Linked DNA regions of Lytechinus pictus. The protein of the gene in region 2 purifies or fractionates together with the protein of the main gene of each other region. This does not show direct contact. Links are inferred from orthologs where the notes say so. Each region holds a gene or a part of one and is shown on either strand. Other genes may lie near its edges.

Evidence for each region. The genes of interacting proteins can lie anywhere in the genome.
Region 1: the proteins of superoxide dismutase [Cu-Zn]-like (region 2) and 10 kDa heat shock protein, mitochondrial-like purify together in Homo sapiens (affinity purification with mass spectrometry; 3 studies listed by BioGRID, with this or other methods). This does not show direct contact. The link is inferred for Lytechinus pictus from reciprocal best matches to the Homo sapiens genes SOD1 and HSPE1.

Annotation. Positions count from the first base shown.
Region 1 is NC_087257.1:28,123,155-28,134,368, reverse strand, and holds 10 kDa heat shock protein, mitochondrial-like, read left to right. Parts: upstream 1-5,650; 5' UTR 5,651-5,953; coding exon 5,954-5,956; intron 5,957-7,356; coding exon 7,357-7,515; intron 7,516-8,039; coding exon 8,040-8,129; intron 8,130-8,397; coding exon 8,398-8,454; 3' UTR 8,455-9,508; downstream 9,509-11,214. UniProt on the Homo sapiens protein: Co-chaperonin implicated in mitochondrial protein import and macromolecular assembly. Together with Hsp60, facilitates the correct folding of imported proteins.
Region 2 is NC_087248.1:24,270,453-24,282,074, forward strand, and holds the start of superoxide dismutase [Cu-Zn]-like, read left to right. Parts: upstream 1-6,516; 5' UTR 6,517-6,959; coding exon 6,960-7,034; intron 7,035-11,622. Other genes in the region: large ribosomal subunit protein uL13-like, read left to right, coding at 798-920, 1,964-2,047. UniProt on the Homo sapiens protein: Destroys radicals which are normally produced within the cells and which are toxic to biological systems.

The sequences.
Region 1 (11,214 bases), on a different chromosome or scaffold from region 2:
CGCACGTGTAATCTCGAATGTTCGCACGTGCTGCATCAAAGCCTCGCACGCACGAATATTGCATAATCAAGGGCATTTAAACATTTTCGAGTGCCCTGCACCCACATAACCAAATAAATACACATCTCATTGGGTAAATTAAACGTAGAATTGATTGCTTTGAAATGATGTTATGGCTTTTTTATTTTTATTGATATCTACAATATTCAATGATGGGACAGTGGGAGCAATTTATGGCTTTAAAATCAAGAAGTTTTTCATAATTTTATATTCATACAGGTTACAGGGCTACCCTTGAATTCTACCGTCATATGTAATCGATTAGAACACAACCGATGGGATGTTAGACTCTGTTTAGTCATTTATCTAAATTCATTCAAAGACATGCCTATAAAAGGTATAGTCTGCAGGTACAGAATTAGTTTGCGCAATTAGTGCTTAATGCAGAGTCTGAAGTAGTGAGACTTTTTTTTTTAATAATTCTGTTTTTATTATACAAATTGAAATAAATCACAAAATTTACAAATGATTAATAGGTGATTGCAAATCACATAAACACAATTTAGTTACACAAAAAATAACAACCATAATAATAATTTAAAAAAAAAAAAAAACCTACCCACTTATCCTCCCCCACCCCCCCCCCCCAAAAAAAAAGGAATGTGGCAATGCGATGACTTAATATCAGTGTTATCTAAACAAAGATAGGTGATTTGGTAAATAAAGTAGACAAAACAAAATATACAAGCTATGATTATATGAAGTGGTTTCCAAACAACTATTCATAGGATTAAAAAGCACAACTGGTTATCCAAGACGACATAATTATGGAGGTTTTTAAACGAATAAGTATATCAAGGTGACTGAGATACAAGTTGCATGAAAAAATGGGATCTGATGTCTACAACCATAATTATAACCAATACAGTGCAGTATTATATAAAAAAATGGGACACTAAACCTGTTATACAAAATATACAGTGTTAGTTATCATGTAACCTATACTGACATTTTTTAAAACCAAATTATAAGGTGAATCGCCACTTCTTAAAGTGAGCGGGCAACTTATTTTTTTTCTTAGCTATCAAATATTCCAAGTCTTGTTGTTTTTTAACAAATGTTTTAAAATGAGCAAAACTTGGAGGATTATTCTTAAATTTACATGTATGAATATAATACTTCAAAAGTAAAAAAAGGTATGAAATGAACTTATCAGTTGAGAGTCCGAACATTTTTTCAAAATTAGAACCATTTATTTGAACATTATTTTGGGAAATTTTCGTTAAAAGGGATTGCCAAATAGGAATTACCCTTTCACATTCGCAAAACAGGTGGATAATTGTTTCCTCACTTTTATCACAGAAAACACAATTGGGTGAATCCTTAGATTTAATCTTATACAAAAAATCATTTAATGCTATGGCTTTATGAAAAATCTTAAAATAGAAAGATCTTAATTTAGTATCAATGGTACAAAAAAAAATTGTGTAGTGTACCTTTTCCCAATCGATAGATACTGGTATTGGTAAACGTTCATCCCAATAAGAGTATCTTTTGTCAGGTGTGTGTGATCCCCTAAATAAAATGTATGAATGTCTAGGGACTTTTTTATAACTCAACAATTTATGTACAATTGTTTCATGAACACCAATAATATCAGGGTCAAAACTCACCAACCATTCTTCAGGGATGCACTTAAGTAAAATAATTATATTTCCTTCTGTCTGTTTGGGGGATTCCAAAATCTAACACAAGCTCTTCAAAGAGTTTGTGACCTAAAAGAGGAGGATTAAATAAGTCAGATAACATTAATACATTTCTCTCATGCCACATTGGATAATTAAGATACTGTTTAGATTTTGAACGAATCAATTTGTTATACCACAGGAGTTGACAACCACTCAAATCTGAAAAATGTTTACCATAACATTCGACAGCAGCTTCCTCCCTAAATGAATACCACATTCTCAATGCTTCAGCTAATTGTATATTACCAAGACTGTTTAAAATGCTCTCAGGAGCATGAGATTTCCACAAAATTTGAATATCATGATTAATTTTTTCTAAAAAGGCTACTTCAATCTTTTTCCATGGAGCATCAAAATTCTCATCCAATAGGTGTTTTACCCAGACCATTTTTTGAGCACATGCAAAAGAAAAAGGGTCAATCATTTTTAGTCCAGCCTGAGTATAATCATTACACATTATCTTACGTTGAACTCTATCCTTGCCTCCATTCCAAATAAATTTAAAAAATAATTTATTTAATTCTTTAAAAAAGGCTCTGGGTAATTTAACAGAAAGAACAGAAAAAAGATAGATTAACTGTGGCAAAATAAGAGTTTTGACAACACAGATTCTACCAATTAGAGAAAGGTTTCTAGTTCGCCAGCAGTTTAAAGTTTGCTCCATTCTTTTTAGTTTCTCTTTATAATTTAACTCATAAATTTGTGCAACATTAGACAAAGATTAGAGTTTGGCATCTAGTCTTTATTCTAGACATGGTTGGTTGAATTATAAGTGTCAAATATGAGTATGTGCTGGGAGACTATTTAAGTGACTGGAAATGTGCCCGGGGAAATGCTCCCATGCGGCATTTTTTCAAAGGACAATTAGTCCACCCCAACAAAAAGTTGATTTGAATAAAAGGAGAAAACCCCTACAAGCATAACACTGAAAATTTCATCAAATTTGGATGTAAAATAAGAAATAGAAATGACATTTATAAGTTTCGTTTAAGTTTCACAAACAATATTCACATTCCTGGTCGGTACGCAAATGAGGGGACTGATGACATATATCACCCACTCACTATTTATTTGTATTTTATTATATGAAATATTCTAATTTTAGCCTCATTGTCCTGCGAAAAAAAGTTAGGCCTATATCCCCGCGAGGCTCATGTGGTATACCATATTGTTATTATGTTTTTTGGTTCAGTAATATAAATCGGTAAAAATGGAAATACTGTATTATTCAAACAATACAAAACAAACGAAATAGTGAGAATAGACATCACCGACTCTCTAATTTGCATATCACTGATTGTGCATATACCAAGGAGATATCACTGTATAACTCCTTGATATAGCTGTTTTGTGAAAAATAAGCGAAACTGTTATTAAGTTATCCGATTTTGATGAAATTTTCAGCGTATTAGGCCTATAATGCTTGTTTGATTAAAATCAAAACGTTTCTTAGATGGACTTGACCTTTAAGCTTTAGTGCCAGACATGCCACAGGGGCCTGGATTTTTTTTAAGATGGGGTGCTGGCTTGTAAAATTTTGACAGTCAAGCAAATGAACATTTGTAAAAATAAGTTTCACTCCAGAACTTGATGAAGGTGAATTTGATCAGAAAAAAATTGAATGAAGAAATGAATGAATGAATGAATAAATAAATAAATAAATAAATGAATAAATAAATGAATGAATAAATGAATAAATGAATAAATAAATAAATAAATGAATAAAAACAAATAAATAAATGAGACTAAAAAAATAAAGGTTTTCACTAGAGGTGCTTTCGATTAGAAAAATATGATTTGACAAGCAGGAGGAAAAAAGTGTTTTGTTTATAGACTCGCCACTCAGTTGCGCCCACTTTGGTCGGGTGCGATAACCCCAGCACGCCCACTACGTAGGGCCTTGCCCTTGACATCTCAATTTTTCATTAAAATTCTGTGTTATTTCCATTTAAAAGTTAATTGTAAGCGGACTATCTGGGATATAGGACTTTTGCTCAAAAAAAAAAATAGATTTTGATATATTCAACATAGGCCTATAAATTATATCGCCCTTTCCTATCATAGAAGTGGAACTTGAGTGAGGGTGAATTCATGCAGAGCTAGCACAAATTAAGTCACCCCACCCAGGACCAAAATCCAGTTGAAACCAATTAGAGCAAAACGAATTGAAACCAGTTGGCCAACTGGTTTCAATAGGGAAATTGGAACAACTGATTCCAAATGAAACCAGTTGCCAATTGGTTCCAGTTAAAACCAATTGGGCAACTGGAACCAGTTGGCAATGGGTTTCAATTGGTTGAGTTGAAACCAATTAGGCAACTGGTTTCAATTGGTTCCAATTTCCCTATTAAAACCAATTGAATCCAATTGGAAGCAACTGGTTTCAATCAGGGGTTCCAGTTGGAACCAATTGAAGGCAACTGGTTTCAACCAGAACCAGTTGAAACTAATTGGTTTCCAACTGGATCCGATTGGAACTTCCAGTTGGAATGAATTTAATTAGTTACAAATTTTGCCTCCGACGAAGATTCTGCTAGGATCGAAAGCTTAGGCCCCTGTTGACTTTCTATAGATACAAATGAATTAGAATTTGCATTAACTATTGCTCATGCCAACAAAGAAGCAATGTTATATGTCTATTAATACCAATGTAAAGGGCGTTCATTATTGATAAAATAGACTTTCATATATATATATTTATATGAAAGATCTTCAAATATATGTATTTGTATTTGATTTAATTTGGTAACCAGTTAGTGGTGTACTTATGACCTTATAATCTGTTTTAATTATAATCTAAAACATTTATTAACATGGTTTTCACTGCTAAGCATTCTAAACACTTATCTGAAACAAGTATGGTACCTGAAATGGAAAAGAATTAAATAGGTACATTGTAAATGATGATGAATCACATAAAACATTCATCTGTGCACACTGGCAGATAATATGCAAATTAACTCGTTTCAATTGGAACCAGTTGGGTAACTGGAAAATTTCCATTGGAAACCAATTAGAAGTCATCTCCAGTTACCCAACTGGATCCAGTTGGGATTTCCAGTTACCCAACTGGTTTGTTCCAGTTAGGATTTCCAGTAACCCAACTGGTTCCAGTTAGAAATCATTTCCAGTTGGAAGTCATTTCCAGTTACCCAACTGGTTCCAGTTGACCAACGGGTTCCAGTTAGGATTTCCAGTTGCCCAACTGGTTTCAATTGCATGGTTTCAACTGGAAATTGTTATATTCCAGTTAAAACCAATTGAAATCAAACTGCGCTAATCATACATGCATAAGTATATATAGTGTATATAATGAGCCGGTAATGAGCAAAGACAATAATTGAGCCGGGGCAATTAACATGCATGCAGGTGTCTCATGCAGTTTAAAACAAAATCAGTTTAAAATTTCAAATTGTCAGTTTTTTGTTTTTTTAGCGGCCTCTTTATCTTATGTCTATGATTATAATTTTTTTATATGTATTGATCGATTCCTTTTGGCCGTGTAATGCTCCCAAGCCATCTACACGCCTGTGACATGCAGGGCACAAACGGGACACATAATAAAGGAAATTTCCCTCAGGAGTTTAAATTAGACGGCCACATACTGATAACTCAACGGACCTATAAGGAATGATGCAAGGACTATTCATTTTTTTTTTTCGAACAGTTTTCTTTTATACACTACGTCTATTATTTTATGTTTATGCCATTCTATATTTAGTTGTATGATTTCGATTGTATTCATATATTCCATGCCGGGATTCCATGCCCCCATTGACGCCCCTCGACACTATCTTGACTTCAAACGGCTGTCAAGAAAGTCTAAAGGAGATCGATCATCAAGTTTCTAGAACGTTCGGGGACCCTGCCGCTGACCCTGATGTGATGCAATGTTTTATGTTCTTGCAAAGTAGATAAATTAATCCATTTGTGTGTATTAAATGTGAACGACGATTATTATTGTCCCTTTTCTCTGTCTCATAGACGATGTATGAGATGAGTTTATTTATGAAAGGGGAATTTTAGAGAGGTTTTTAAGAAAGGGGGAGGGGTCGTCAATGCGTACGCGTACGCGCGCGGCAGCATTGTTTTTGCTAAACACGTGTGATTAGCCGAGCGGACCTGTGCTGTGCAACAAGGGTCGAGATCGAGACTGCCGGATAGTCAAAATTAAACGTATCTTAGGGAAATAAACCTCAAATAAAATGGTAAGAAAATTTATACGATATGAATGTTTCGTTCAGATGTACAATATATTGATACATTCAAATATTAGTTGTTCTAGATCATGTGAAATTCGACTTGGCTTGATCATGCAGTCCCTGGCATTAAATTCTGTGTGTGCTGTGCGCATTAACGTGTTATTGTTAATATTCTTGTTTGAACTTTGTCTTTGATAGTGGTACTGCGTTAATTCCGTTTGATTGAGTGTAGCAGCAATGTCTGGTAGTACTTTAGTTTGTAGTGCACGCCACTACCGGTGGTCATGATGGTGATGATGATGATTGGTAGGACATCCTGATCCAATGACAATGTATCACTATCAGTTATCACTATCATTAAAAAAAAAATAGAGGGGGATCAGAGACGGAGGGGTACTTAGTCTTAGGCTTTCAAAAAGTGAGCAGATGTTGATCAATATTCAATGACTGAGCTGAGTTTGAACTCGGAACTGGGGTTGAGAATGCAGGAGTCTGAATGAGGAGAAGGCCTTACACAGGCTTAACTTCTGGAGTAAAACAATGAAAAGTTCTAATAAAAAGAGAATCAAACTCAGAGGAGGAAAGCTAAGAGAAGAGGAGGAGGAATTCATGCATGCATGGAATTAAAATTGAGGAGGGGAAAGAGAAAGGGAAGAAGAACAAATCAATTGGAAGGGGAGCGTGAGGAAGTGGGGGAGAAGTTCAAGAAGAATATAGAGCAACTCAACATTTTATCACTTGTTTTCCCATTCATACTTTTTATCCCCACCTTTATTTTATTTTTGCTATTTTTCTACCTTTTTTTTATTGCTCTTCTTGCCTTTTACCTATGTCGATCAATGCCCACTTTCCATAAGCCCTTTTCCTTGACCTCCACTGCCATGGTACAGGAGAAAAACATTGTTGTAGCCTGGCCTAACTTATAATATCTACTATACCATGAACTACTGAGCTAACCTTAATAATGGATCACTGAAAGTACTTCGGTGGCCTGGTTGAAGATTAACTACAGAAGCACAAGATGTTTGATGCGAAGCGTACCGTTGCAGAGCGCTCTGTCGGGTCCTAGCTGGAGTATGTATACTGCCGGGGTATGTCACGTTCACAGGCCAGGTGATACACCCTTTCAGCTATGGATTCATTAGAAGCAAACTCAAACAACTACTTAACCTACAGGAATGACTCGGCTTATATAGGGAACCATGAGCTGTGACTAGAGCCAGGAGTTATGTGGCTCGCCAAAAGGGAATACGTATGTAACCATATGGATAGCAGATAGATAAACTATATAAAAGTGCTTGTCACTACAACACATTCTTGACCAGTGTAGTACATCAGTTATTTCTCTCAAAATGTTTTTTTTTTTCCTGAGATTTTTATTTTGTTTTTAAATCTTATATTCTCAGGCTGTTTTCAGGAGATTCAGACCACTGTTTGACCGGATCCTTGTGGAACGACTTGTCCCCGAGACCAAGACCAAAGGAGGTATCATGATCCCAGAGAAGGCTCAGCAGAAGGTCAATCAAGCTACCGTTGTAGCAGTAGGAGCAGGGTCTAGAGATTCAGTGAGTATTCAGCAGGAAAGGGAAAAGGGTGTTGTTTCATTTATAAAGCTGTACATTGCTTTACTTTATGCTTCAGTAGGAATCACAACATTTTTTTTTATGTTGAAGTTCGCTGTTAATAACGTGAACATGACCACTAGTGTCTACTATTGTCATTTTCAAATAAATTTGTGGTAGGAAATCCAACAGAATCAAACAAAAGACCACTGAGTGATCGTACCATTACCTTGCATTGCGTAGTATGACTGCTCAGGCAAATATTCTGTATTCTTTGCCAATTGATTCCGATAGAAAAATCATTCAGCAATATTAGCAAAATGAACAAGGCATTTTATCAGTAGCCTAGTCTTTTCTTCAAGATATGATTATTTCTTACATCTTACCAGACCACGGGCCTGTAGCAGAAAGTGTTAAAATCGCATTCAACTCCAAATATCAATTGCAACTTGTCAACCAAACAGAGGCATACATTTATCTCATTTTTAATTACTTCTGTTGGCCTTTTTTTTTCTCATCCAACACAGTCGGGTACTGTGCACAAGGTCGCTGTAGATGTTGGTGATAAAGTTCTACTTCCAGAATTTGGAGGAACCAAGGTTTCATTTGAAGAGAAGGTAAAGTACTGAAACATTTGGAATAAATGTTTTCCACATGTCATGATTTTATTTTGTGGTTCACGTAGTGGTGGATAAAGATAACTTTTGAAATGTAACTTTTATTTAGTTTATCAGTCATCAACCGTGCATGCACATGTATTTGCAACCGATCGTAGCATTATGAATGACATAAAACATCCTCAGAAGGTCCCCTTTTTCATTGACTGCAATGTTTTTATGTTATTAATGATAATATATTTTCATTCTTTCTTTCTTTCTTTTACAGGAATATTTCATCTTCAGGGAAGGCGATATAATAGGAGTTCTGAATGAGGAAAAGTGATGGAGATTTAGAACAATATCTAATTATAACATGTGACCACAGCCAGTGTTGACTCCTATTCGATGCATGTATGATGTATGGTGTAAATATGAAGATGATTTATTGGTTGGATGATGGTGTTGCTTTTCTACAAGTATTTGTCTTTGTATTTTGATATGTTGCAGTCTTGGATTTGCCTAAAATGGAAAGTTCAAATATTATGTTAATTTACTCATTTCCGTTTGCCTCATAAAGGCTCATATTATATTGATTAATGATGGGAAAATGCGTCAATACAACCCCTTTATCTTGCTTTTAACTCTACCCAGTCCAGTTTACACAGATTTCGAAACTGCATAGCATGACCATCTAACCCTGCTGCAATATTATGTTACTAGTCATACAAATATTTTTAAAAGGGTGACAGTATCCTTGTATTTCAACTACTATCACTGTCATAAGATGGCAATTTGTTTTAGATACATGTACAAGATTTTATCAGTAATGATTTATATCAAGCCCCCCTGTGTAAAGCAACACTTAAATTTTTCTTGGTAATCTGTTACCCTGGCTCTGTTTCATGAAGCTTGTCAGCACTGACAATGTGTCATTCTCCAATAGTTACCATAGTAAACACTTACAAGCAATTCTTGGCCAATGGGAACCAAGAACTTCACTGAAATTGTCATAGCTGACAATGTAATCAGTGTTGTCAACTTTCATGAAATGGTGTCCACTAGTTTATTTCTTATCCTATCAGTATTGAAAAAAATAGAAAGCAAACTGGCTCTGTGATTGTATACTATTCTGTTGGCCTGGTGCTTTATACATATTAATTACATGAACATTGTAGTACTGACAACTGTATTCTTAGCATCAATTCCGATGGTCGTTGTGAATTGCTCCTTGCATCCTGATGCTTATCTCAAGTTTTGGCTGTTAAATCATCATTAACCAAAATAGTGTTTGTACTATGTACCTTTGAGGTATGGATATGTCAACATTCATGAATGAATAGCACCATGTATGTAAAATTATGACCTGATCATGTTGATTAAAACTGAATTACATTGTATATCTTCCAAACGGTTTCACGGGACTGAATCTGTCAACTAATTCTCTTTCATGTGGTAAATCACACTAAGAGAAGAATATATATAGAGTACCAAAGTGATGACATCACAAAAACCCTTCAGCATTTCTACATCATACCAGGGCGGGGCATGATGAAAAACTCCCAACAGCCCAAATTTAGTGGGAATCAGTTGATGGGGGCCAGAGGATATGACCTCTTGAAAACATAATTTGCCCCATTAAGTCAGTGTACCATTGGTGTGGTTCATTTAATTCTTGGGGCCCCCATTGAATGATTCCTACCAATTTTTGTGGGTTTTGGAGGTATTGCATGAAAATGTCTTTAAAAATGCTGAAATACAAAATTGATGTCACACTTCAGTGCTCTATTGCAGATCAGATTTTTATGAGGGTTTATGAACAAATCTGTCCCTTGCCTGGCAATTGTAAAAAAATGAAATAAAATGGAGGGATCCGTCATTGTTTTATTTGAAAGGGGGGAAAATGGCTGCCATGAAATTGAATGGGATTTTCATAAAAATACTGCCTGGGTTATTGATATTTCAGCACGTTTAAAGATTTAGCAAGGTTTTTAAAGTATGGACTTAGTTGGAAGATGGAGACAGGAAGGAAAGGACAAGAGAGAGAATGGGGGGGGGGGGGGGAGGTTACAGACAGGGATGGGAGAATATTAAAGTCGGAGAGAGAGGGGGGAGTCCTGGGGTGATTCAGAAATGGGGATTAAAGGTAAGGTGGAAGGAGAGAGGAGGGCTGGGGATTTACGAATGAGGATTGAGGTCTGGTTGAGGGAGAGTTAAAAGGCGGGGGGGGGGGGGGTTCATAATAGAAAAGTATGGTAGATGAGAGGGAAGGGAGATTCAGACATTCGCATTGAGATGTAATGTGGAAGGAGAGAGATAGAGATGGAATAATCAAATATAACCAGGTGAAAATACAAAAGAAAAACAAATATTTTAGTGGGTCAAAGACTTTATTCTCTCAGAATATATTTGTACATTCACAGTGTGCTGAATAACAGATTACATTACACACATTTAAAAACTCCTTTCTTCAAAACAGAAATGACTGTCGATTCATTTTTTTTTCATCATTAAAGATGATTTTGATAAATTATCACGTTAGTCTGCCATATCCCATATTCTTTTCAATTCTTTCATTATATAATTCTGCACTAAATCTCTGCATAGATCAGTCATCAATTAATCAAAGAATTTAATGAATCTTTCTTGGAAAGACCCACACCATACACAGCATCTGTTAAATACAGTAGTCGAGCCAAAGGAAAAGATTTGTAGAATATCAAATCATTTCACTGTAGATTGTATGAGCTGTACATGTACATAATAGGGCAAGTACAAAAGCAGTAAAATAGACTGCCTTACCAGATCATGCACAGCACAGTCATTATTTATTGCCTTGGAATCTCAGAACAGATATTAAGCACTTGGTCTTCAAATAAAATACAATCTAAAGCAAAATAACAGCAGGAGCCTACATCTCGAAAAAAAATCAATAAAGCAGGATAATGATGATAACAAACAATACGGTCAAATCCATAAATCCTACTTTTGAAATATATTTTGGCAAAAGTGTCAAACGATATTGATAGTATAATGCCACAATGGTCACCTATTATTGAAAGGAAAATACATAACTATCTTGCTAGTACAGTTTCATACATATAGC
Region 2 (11,622 bases):
GTTGCATGTTTGCAGTGGCTCACTCTTTGATCATTTGTCCAAGTAGATGCTTTCTTTGCTCAATTATATAAATATTGATAACTGATTAAATCTCTTAGGATCAAAGAAATTCTATATTTAGGAGAATGATTACCCTGATGGATGCCGTTGTGGACTGCCAACATATACTTGTATTCTAATGTCCTGTTTTTAGATCTGTTGCATAAACTGTGTTTGATTGCAGTCTTTGTAATCAGTTGCAATCCTAAATGCACCCTTCTGATTGGCTGAAGAAAAGGTCGATTGTGAGCGTGTCGAATTCCATGCAAACGCAAGTTGAAAGGCAGTAGACTTTATTATTCATCCTCCCATAAGTCAAATCAACTATCATTTCAGACTAGAATATGAAAACATTCCTTATTTACATGTCCCAATTCGTAAGTCAAATTTTGCACAATTCGTCCTTCCATAAGTCGCAACACCTCAGTATTAGCGGAATTTCAGACCAGAATATGAAAAACATTACTTATTTGCTTGTACTCTAAACAGAATTTTGTGGTCCCCCCAAAATTTTTTACTGTGGCAGAGTCACCTGCTGGGGACTGTTTCATGAAAGTTGTCAGCACTGACAAGATGTCTTTCTCCGACAGTTACAATAGTGACAGTCAGAGGCCAGAGCTTCTCAGCCAATCACAAGCAAGGATTTCACTGAAATAATCAGCACTGACAATTAAGTCAGTGCTGACAACTTTCATGAAACACCCCCTATGCCCATTCCTATATCATTGTCTGATTCAATCTCATATCAAATGTTGTAGTTCTGCCAACTTGGCCGTCTTGCTCATGAGGTCGGCTGGAAGTACAAGAACATCGTCGAGGCTTTGGAGGAGAAGAGAAAGGCCCGCGCCCATCTGCACTACCAGAAAGAACAGAGGAAAGTGGTAAGTCACTTTTCTCAACCACTTAATCATTTCAGTCTAACTTTTATTGTCGACAAGTGGGATTTAAAGTCGAGGCGTAGAAACAGTGAAGGAAATACATGAGCCTGAAAGGCAATTATGCCCTCCAAATGGCCCCTCAAATTCTGAAAGTAGATTGCTCTGGGATGACCATCATCTTTTGTAGAGACGCCACAAAAAATATTCATGAATATTTTTTAAAATCAATATGGCAGAACAATGAGGTTTGAATTTCACAAATTTCTTGTTGCATAAATGAACTAGCCATCGGAATGAAAGGATTCGCTCCAACAGTGATACTAACATCCCAACTTGAAAAAATAAAATAAAGTAACCCACAAAAAAGAACAATGATTTCTTACCATGCAGAGAAACTTGTTGAAGGATATTGGAATAATCTAATTTTGTGGAAGGTGGGAGGCACTGACCAGCTTGCTAATGATGACTTTTCATTCTACCTACATTGTTTGATAACTACAATGAGAAAAAGCATGAATTCTGATGCACATTGGTCAATATTACCACTGCGGTCCAAGCTGAATTACCACAACAAGTGACTTACCATGCAGAAGTTGTCAACAGCTTGATTTATGTAATTGTTGCATGCCCATCAGAATAGAGACAAGTTTTGTCTTATCTATTCAATTTTTTACACTTGACAACAGCAATAGATTTGTCCCTATGTTGAAATATATGTCTTCATAGCAATTTTCAACACAATACTCGGTTAACATCGATTGAACCTTTTTTTTCAATGTAGCTTTTGCATCACAAAAACAAAACAAGAAAATATTCAATAAATCTTTTTTTAAATGATATTCATACTCAGTGCCATTTTTGGTTGATGCTCTCTATGTGTTTTGTTTGCACTCTCAAAATCTGATCTTTGTCACACTACATGTACAGAGTGGCATGTGAGGGTTCCCATACATGTGGGCAAATCCATTGCGTCTTATCCTCTTGTTAAATGAATTATGATATTAACTTATTTTTCTACTCTGCTTCCCCCCCCCCCCCCGACCCAGGCCCTGCGAAGGAAAGCGGTAAAGAGTGTTGGAGACAAAATCGCCCCCTACCAGAAGATCATTGAAGGCTATGGCTTCCATTGAAACACATCTATCAATGAACTGTTAAGACCATGATCACACCAAGTGTTCATTCTGCAGTGAATAAAGTCACATGCAAAAAAAAGAAGGAAACGAGTGTCAATGTGTCTTTTTGAGTCTGGACGGCCTCAATAAGTTTCTAGTTTGTCTTCTGTTCAATTGTCCCTACCGGACATACAGGTAACTCTCCCAGGTAAATTGCTGATTGCCCTACACCTCATTCTCTTCGTCTTTGCGTCTCCTCTCATCCCACTTGGTCTAATCTTTATTCATCGGCAACCAGTTCGTCTACTTAAAGGACAAATCCACCCCAACAAAAAGTTGATTTGAATGAAAAGAGAAAATGCAACAAGCACAACACTGAAAATTTCATCAAAATCGGATGTAAATTAAGAAAGTTATGACATTTTAAAGTTTCGCTTAATTTCACAGAACAGTTATATGCACATCCTGGCTGGTATGCAAATGAGGAGACTATGAGGTCATCCACTCACTATTTCTTTTGTATTTTATTATGTGAAATATGAAATATTCAAATTTTCTCATTGTCAAGTGATAAAACAATTAATTCCTCCCTGAACATGTGGAATTAGCATGTGGTTCAGTCAAGTTGGTCCTTATTGTCAAATATCTAAAAAATGAAATATTGTATAATTCAAACAAAAAACAAAACAAATAGTGAGTGATGGACATCATCGACTGAGTGACCTACTTATGCTTATCACTGTTTTGTGAGAAATAGTGAAACTTTAAAATGTCATAACTTTCTTATTTTACATCCGATTTTGATGAAATTTTCAGCACTATGCTAGTTTGATTTTCTCTATGCAAGAAAGCATTTTCCTGGGGTGGACTTGACCTTTAACATTTGGTCATATTGCCATTTAACCCATTTACTAGTTTGCCTAATTTCTAGTTAGGTCCTACCCAAATATTGATTTGGTTCAAAACCTCTTAGTCTATGGCCCGTATTCTGAAGTCAGGTTTAATTTAGACCATGGTCTAACTCTGCTAAAATTATGGGAAGCCAAACGTGTCAAAATTCTTATTAAGTTGTATGTTTCTTATGTTCACTGTACAATCATCTATGTATACTTTCTAGACAATTATGAATGATTTGAGAGCCAAATGAACTGAAATATGATATCTCTAATGTTAGTGATTTATGTAAAAATTGGCTATCCATACTTCAACCAAATGAGTGCCTATAAATACCCTTAGGAAGCAAGATTAAATTTAGATAAATCAAATACAGTAACCCTGCATGAGAAAAATTTCATAATATATGAATAATTTTCTGGCTGTTGGTGCAAGATGAAAGGCATGGAATTTTCGTAACATTGTTACATAAAGGAAATATTGGACCAATTTCATTAAGAGTTGCGACTATGATGGTAACTTTGCCATTATCATGGAAACTACCATGGTTGTGATTGGCTGCTGAGCCCTGTTACCATGGTAGTTGCCAAAATGACAAAGTTCTTTGGAGTTGTAACTTGTGAAATTGGACCCAGATGTACGCCACACACAAGATTGGGATGGTATACAGTGGAAAGTAACGGTGGGAATAAATGAACGTATATGTAGAACTAAAATACAATTGTGCAGTAGAGGAAGGGGGAAGGGAGAGCGACTGAAAGAAAGGGGAGAAGAGGGGGAATATTGGAGGAGGGGAAGGGAAAAGGTGAGGGAGGGAGGGAGAGAGAGGATGATACAGAGGGGGGGGGGGGTGAGGGAGAGAGAGGATGAGACAGAGGGGGGGGGGGTGAGGGAGAGAGAGGATGAGACAGAGGGGGGGGGTGAGGGAGAGAGAGGATGAGACAGAGGGGGGGGGGTGAGGGAGAGAGAGGATGAGACAGAGGGGGGGTGGATATAGCGACAGGGCAGCCTGAGAGATATAGGGGAGAGGCAATTAAGGTGAATGAGTGAGGGGATTAAGATGGGGGGGGGTACTGGAAGAGCGCCTGTTCTGAGGGAGAAAGGTTGGGGGGGCTAGAGATCTCAAGAAAATTGTAGGGAAAAAAAGAGGCATCTTCTTGTTGCTAACATGGGGTATAGAAATGTTGCATTATATACTTTTCAAAGCCAAGTTTTACACATCTCATTTGAAGCAGATTGGTGTCCTCATCAATATAACACCAATGTAATGAAAATGGGACTGCATTTCCGAACGGAGGATGACTCTTCATTTTTAGGCCACGCCTCGATTTTAAAAAAAATATATATTTTTTTTTTTTTTGTCCCGTGCATTATATCATAAAATGCACTATATAGCTGTCATATATAAGCCTGGCCGGGGCCTATACTCACCCAATTTTCTATATGGTAGGCCTACATGTCTTTGATCGAGCACGCAACGTTATTCTGCTAATGAGATATGCAAAACTTGATTCTGAAATCCCTCTATATCGGGCTCTATATAGAAGCCTATACCTTCAATTGCAAAATACTTAAGCATATACATCTACCCCCGGACTCTGAAGTTGCAGGAATCATTCTCGGGCCGAGCTCGCCGAGAGCTCATTGGAGGTACTTACACAGATTACTTTACTGACCATAGCCAAATGGGCAGCAAATTATGCCTACGTGCATGTCATTCTGGTAAATTTCTCAATTAAAGGGATGGTCCGGGCTGAAAGTATTTATAGCTTAAAGGGGAATCCAACCCAAATAAAAACTTGTTTTTATAAGGAAAAGAAATATCAGACAAGTTGATAGGTGAAAGTTTGAACAATATTGGACAAACAACAAGAAAGTTATGAATTTTTAAAAGTTGTAAATATTGGTAATCACTATACCCACGGAGACTTCAAATTGGCCGCATATGGGATGTCATAGTGATGTAAGGCAAGGACTACTCTTCCATGTACTCCAATACATATTATGGCTAAAATGTCATTTTTCCCAAAAGTTTTATTTCAAATTATATTTTTCTTTCATGAGGACATAAAACAATATACTACCTGGGTTATATTTAGATTACTGCCACAGGGGAATGGGTACTTAGGAGAAAACCACAAATCCTTGATAATAAAGTACATGGCCTATGGGAAAGTTGTCCTTGCCCCTTGTCATAATTTACTTACCCAGTTGCCAATTTGAAATCTACATAGTACTAGTGATCTCAATTTTAAAGCAGCTATAACATTCTTATTGCTTGTCCGATTTCTTTTAGACTTTCTCCATTCTGTTTAATTTATTTTTCTCCTTCCCAACACAACATTTTATGGCCAAGGCTGGATTCCCCTTTAATAAATAGAGTAGAATTCACTGAGCTAAATGCCGAAAATTTCATCAATTTCGGATAACAAATAAAGTTATTGAATTTTAAATTTTAGCAATATTTTGTGAAAACAGTCGTCATGAATATTCATTAGGGTACCGGTAGGAAGTAATTCCTTAAAAAGCTGTGTGCGCTATGAACGCCTAGCTTAGCCGGGTAATATAGGAGCGCCTTGAGCACCTAACAAGGTGGATATGTGCGCAATTTAAATACCCTATATTATTATGTGGGCTGATGATGTCACATCCCCACTTGTTCTTTTGTATTTATTATATGAAATTAGGTTTATTCAAATTTTTACCTCGAAGAACTAGAAAAATTGGATTTACAACTGATTTAGTGCATAAGATATTTATTGCTGCATCTTATTTCATTATAAGGGAGACATATTATTCACACAAGTATGAAATAATGAAAAAATTATGATTGTATGTGATAACATAGAAAACGGAAAGGGGAGATGTGACATCATCAGTCCCCCACATTCATGACGACTGTTTTCACAAAATATTGCTAAACTTTAAACTTCAATAACTTTATCATTTGTTATACCGAGGTTGTTTTACCTGACTGCTAAGAAAGCATGAATGCCTTTGAGCAAGCAACCAGGGGACCAACGGCTTAAGGTCCTCTCCGAGGGACCTGGTAATGAGGATAAATGCCTTACCAAAGGGCACTAGCGCACCACTTGGGAATCGAACCCTGGTCACCGGACCGAAACCCCGCTCTACCGACTGAGCTATCGCGCCTCCCCTTTATCCGATTTTGATGAAATTTTCGGCATTTTGCTCAGTGAATTCTACTCATTTTCAGCCCGGACGATCCCTTTCCCAACTCCTAATAAAGCAAGCAATTACCAAGCAAACCCAACATAAACTCTTTAATTTACGAATCTCATTTCTTTTCCCTCATCATCTCCCCCTCCCCCTTTTTTGGCTTGTCCTGGAAATTTTGGGGCCCTAATCGATCCCAATTACTAGGCCTACTCGACTTGATATTGACTTCCCACTCCCCCCCCCCCCCCCCGTGGTCGCTGTTGGAATTTTGGGGCCCACCTCCCCCCCCCCCCCCGTTTTTACGCCAGTATTCTAATAATTGAATCCAATTAAAGAATTAGAAAATGAAAACAAAAATAAATGTGAAGTCTCAATGTTACCCTCACCCCCCCCCCCCCCCCCTCTAATTCGGTAGCCGCGCTGCTGCGTATACGTCGCAATAGTCAGCAGCAGGCTCGTTGGTGTATGCCCAATTTTCGCCAATAAATTCTATAGGCACATTCACTGTACTTTTCACAATACGTGTTCTTTTGATACCAGGATCGCAGTCCATATTTAAAAAAGAAGAATTTTTCAAACCCGCTTCAACAGCTAGAGGTTACTATAAATGTTTTGCACACGCCACGCAAAAATAAAGCACAACGAGGTAAAGCCCGGAGCTAGGCCAGTGCTGGCCGGCCTAGCGTAGCTCCTGAGATTCCTACCCAGCTCGGCCCCGGTACACGTGTTTGTACGGCCGTAAACAACTAGTCAAGTGCATCTAGTACCGTGTGCAAAGACCAGACAAAAACTGACTGAGCCTGCTGGACAATCTCGCCAAGTTCTTCGTTTTAAACCGTAAATTAAAAGAAGAATCATGTCTGTACTTGCAGTTTGCACTCTTGCCGGACCTGGAGAAGTAAAGGGGGTCATCAACTTTGAGGCTAAAGAGGTATCTATCGGTCTGTAGTCTCTTAATTTTTGAGGAAAAGAAAACTGATGTCTTGATGATGACTGAGTCAATGACTGGCATGAAAATGACTGGCATTTTGTAATCATGCATGCATTCCATGGCCATGCCCATGGCAGCCACTCAACTTGTGATAGATAGGCCTCACGTTAAATGAAAAATAAATAATCCAAACTGTGCAAATAATGTTGAATGTCGACTCCCATGATGACTTATGACTGTGACTATGATGAGTATGATTATGATATGACTTTATGAGGCATGAAGAAGGCCAGGCATCACCTGGTTGGGGGAGGGGGGGGGGGCATTCATGATTTACTATGATAGTTGATGCAAGTTCTGAGCTTTTCTGTCTGAGAAATGGTGGTAAAACACGTGGTCATTCCTTAAAGCTAGAGAAAAGATATTCACGTCTTGACGTGCGTAAATTTTTTCTTTGCTAACCGAGTGATAGATGTGTGGAACAGTCTCCCAGAAGATGTAGGTACCGGTTCTGCTTGTTCAGTGATTGCATTTAAGAATAGACTGGATACCGATAGGCATTGGGAGAAGATTGCCTATGATTTTGAGTGATTTTCGATTCTCGTGTGTTCTCATGGAATTGTTTTGCTGTCTACGATACCCCTGCCACCCCTCCCTGCCAACATAAGTAGCACACCTAATTTTGTCTGAAGGAGAGCCGCAATAGACTTTCTACTTTGATCGATGAACAGGCTTAGTCCTACAAGTACAACATCGTTGGAGTAAACTAAACGAACAAATTGTATTTTGATTGATTGGGTGTGATGTGTGTCACATTAACCCTAGCTGCAGCTGACTTTCAAAGTCTTCAGTTTTCAGCATTTCATTTCAAGCCCATTTTCACTGAACTATTCCGGGGGGCACTCGAACACAAAAGTGGTAGGTAGACTGCATGTAGACCCACTCATTCAATGTCAATGAACAAGGTTATGATATAACCTAAAGTTATAGACTCTATATGAAATATTGTGTAATTCAAACAATAAAAATCAAAAGAAATAGTGAGTGAGGGACATCATTTACTCTCTTATTTACATGTCACTGAGTTGCGCATATAATAACTTTTGTGAAAAGTAAGCAAAACTTTAATATGTCGTCCATGTAGGTCTTATTTTACATCAAATTTTGATGAAATTTTCATTGGTGTACTTGTTTGAATTTTCTCTATTTATTCAAATCAACAGTTTTCTGGGTTGGACTTATTAAAGTAGATCTAGCATCTATCGGGCTACAGTATCTGCAATGCACCATGCAATCAATGACTTGTGCTGGATCTGGGTATCAGAACGCAAAGGCATGTGATACATATTTGAAACAACATTTCCCAAGGGTCATTAATTAATGCTTTAAAGGAAATGCAAGCGTCAAGCAAATGCCAGCAGGCAGTGAGCAATTGCTTGAGCTTACTAGTAAAAACCTTTTGCTTGCAAGCAATTGCTCATTTTTTATGCATACACAAGTAAAAACCAAGCAAAAGCAATTGCTAGTTTTTATGCATCCAAGCCATTATGATTCTAAAAGAAAAAATTTAAGGAAAATCAGCTTTGACTGAATTTGACTAAACCTTAACCTGTTTATGCACAGGCACCATTAAAGTCAGTTGTAGTAGAATCTAAAAAGGGAAAAATTGAGTTTGAACAAATCCAACAGATAAATAAACAATTGAATGATTATCTTAGATTCACTACAGTGATTATCTCTATTCAACTTGTACCTTGGTTTCAAAGGATAATATAAAGCCTTGTTAATTGTTCAGTTATGTGAATTATACTTCAGTAAATATGCCAGTCTCACCGAAGTGTACATGTACAGTATATATAGCCACTGAATCCTTTTTCAAACGCCGATTCTCTGAAAATTTCAATTATTCAAATCTTAGATACCTTCATTTTATTAGATATTAGGGATTTTTGTGTTCCTCTTCAAAAAGGGTACTTGGAAACACTCGTCTTAAACCTTAGTACTTCGATATCAGAAAGCCACATAAAAAAGATAATGTTCTGAAAATTTCAGCCAATTCCATGCTTTGGATTTGGAATATATTTTGTATTAACCAAAAAAAAAAGGAAAAAAAGCATTTGATCAGGCACCCGATCATGATAAATTTGTATACAGTGTACATGTAAATGAGCAAAATTTAGCTTGGAAAACACATTGTCATTTCATATTATCCTCCACTTCGTAATACATGTAGTTTTAGGGCATACACATATCCATGTAGTAGTAATGACTTCGAATAGTAATACATGTGGATACATTTGGGGGAATTTTACCAACTTTAATAGGTAAAGGCAGACTTTGATGTTGGGGGGAAAAATATGCAGGTACCAGGCATGTATACTACCTTTTTTATCCCCCACCAGTACTGTACCAGTAGTTATGTGTGTACTTCCTTTATCTTTTTATCTATTAAAAAGGAGGGGGAGGGGACCATCAGTAGTACCGGTACCTGCCGATTCCAATTGTTTCAAAGAATTGATTTCAAATTTGCAAATGAAAGTTGAAAGATGTTTTTTGCAATATATCTTGGATATAAGAAAAAAAGCCATCAATGATTGCTATTAAAAAAATAAGAAATGAAAATTCATTCAAGACCGGACTACACAAGTAACGCAACCATTTTAGTTTTGCTTTCATTTTTCATATTAAGGGAACAGTAAATACTTACAATGTATATGGTTCCATGACATTTGCTAAGGCGACAATTGCTTCGCTGCAAATTCTACTCATTAAAGGGATGCTCCAGGCTGCAGATATTTATATCTCAATAAATTCACAGAGCAAAATGCTGAAAATGTCATCAAAATCGAATAACAATGTTATTGAATTTCAAAGATTTGCATTCTTCTGGTGAAACAGTTCTAGGCATGTCTTCATGAATATTTATTAGGTGGGCTGATGATGTCATATCTCTACTTGTTCTTTTGTATTTGATTATACGAAATTAGGCTTATTCAAAATTTTCCTACCAAGAACTAAAACAATTAGATTGACAACTGATTAAGTGCATTAGTTATTTCTTGCTGCAATTTATTTCATAATATTGATAATGGAGACATTAAAAAATTTAATAACATAAAGAAATAGGAAAGTGGGGATGTGACATCATCATTCCACTCAATGAATATTCATGAAGACATGTGTGGAACTGTTTCAGCAGAATAATGCAAATGTTTAAAATAACTTCATTATTTGTTTTAATATCCAATTTGATGAAATTTTCAGTATTTTGCTCTGTGAATTCTACTCTATCTAGCTATAAATATTTTAAGCCTGGAGCATCCCTTTAATGGAATGGCCAACTTCAACCCTGAGTTTAACACTATACCCTATCCTAAACCTAACCATAAACCTACATGTAACATAAAACTATATTTGCAACCCTAACCCTGTATCTTAGACAAAATAAAGCCCGGAGCAATTGTCGCCCGAGCAAATGTTGTGTTATACAAATAATGCATGCAGCCGAGTGCGTTAGTGGAAATGCAGAGCACGCGAGGTTTCTTTAGATAGGAGTCGCACTGTGCACGAGCCGCTTGCGGCGAGTGCCCAGTGTGCTCCATCTGAAGAAACCGAGCTTTCTCTGCATTTACTTTTACGCACGACAGAGCAAGTGCATTATTTGTTTTATAAAATAGCAACACAGAAACAATTTTGAAAAAAGTTACAGTACAGTTTTGTTGGACTTCTACCGCACTGGTTTGCTTGAGCGTGCAATGTCAATTTTCGTTGCACACCTTTTGCATGAACATGGAATTGTAATTTTGGCATTAAAAAAGTAATAGGGTGGGGGAGCTTGTTGAAAGATTCGAAACAAATCAAGTAATAGTTTTGATATATTTACGAGGTGTCTTGCCCATTCTGTTTTAGAATTTTCAAGTTTTACAAGTTGCCCCTTACTTTAAAATTGTCTGATTTATTGCATTTTATCTTCTTTGATCAAACTCGAAATGAAGGCCAAGCTTTCTTCATCCTTAGATGTATTGTGAACCTTTTCGCAACCCTCCTTGGTGTTTGGGAGCTTCCACAAAATTCCACTTAATATTGAATTTGGACTTAAGGCCTAGGGCTTATTGAAGATAATTTGTACATGTACCAATAAGTCAGTTCACAGGATAGCTCACATCAACTTTTCTCGAATGGCCTTTTGCGATTTTTCATTAGGATGAGCACTAACATTTTCAAATGAACAAGTTGCGTATTAAAGCTTTTCAGGCAAAGCATTCAAATTCTAAGAATGAAAGGCATTGTAATTTGTATCTAGACATTACCCTTGCAGCTCATCGGGTGGTGTTCTGATATGCATGGTTTAGTTATTGAAACAGGGTTAACTTAGACCATGCTTTTATGGAGTGCCAGTTGATTATTAAACCTTATTCGCCAATTGAATTTATTCTTATCGAGCTGCAAAAAATTGTAGAAAATGAATCAAGTTGTGAAATGTGAAGAATACACATGTAGGATAATAAAACGAATTATAATGAATCTTATTGAATTATTATAATTGTCACAAATATGGAATACATTGCTATGAAGCCCAGCTTTCCGT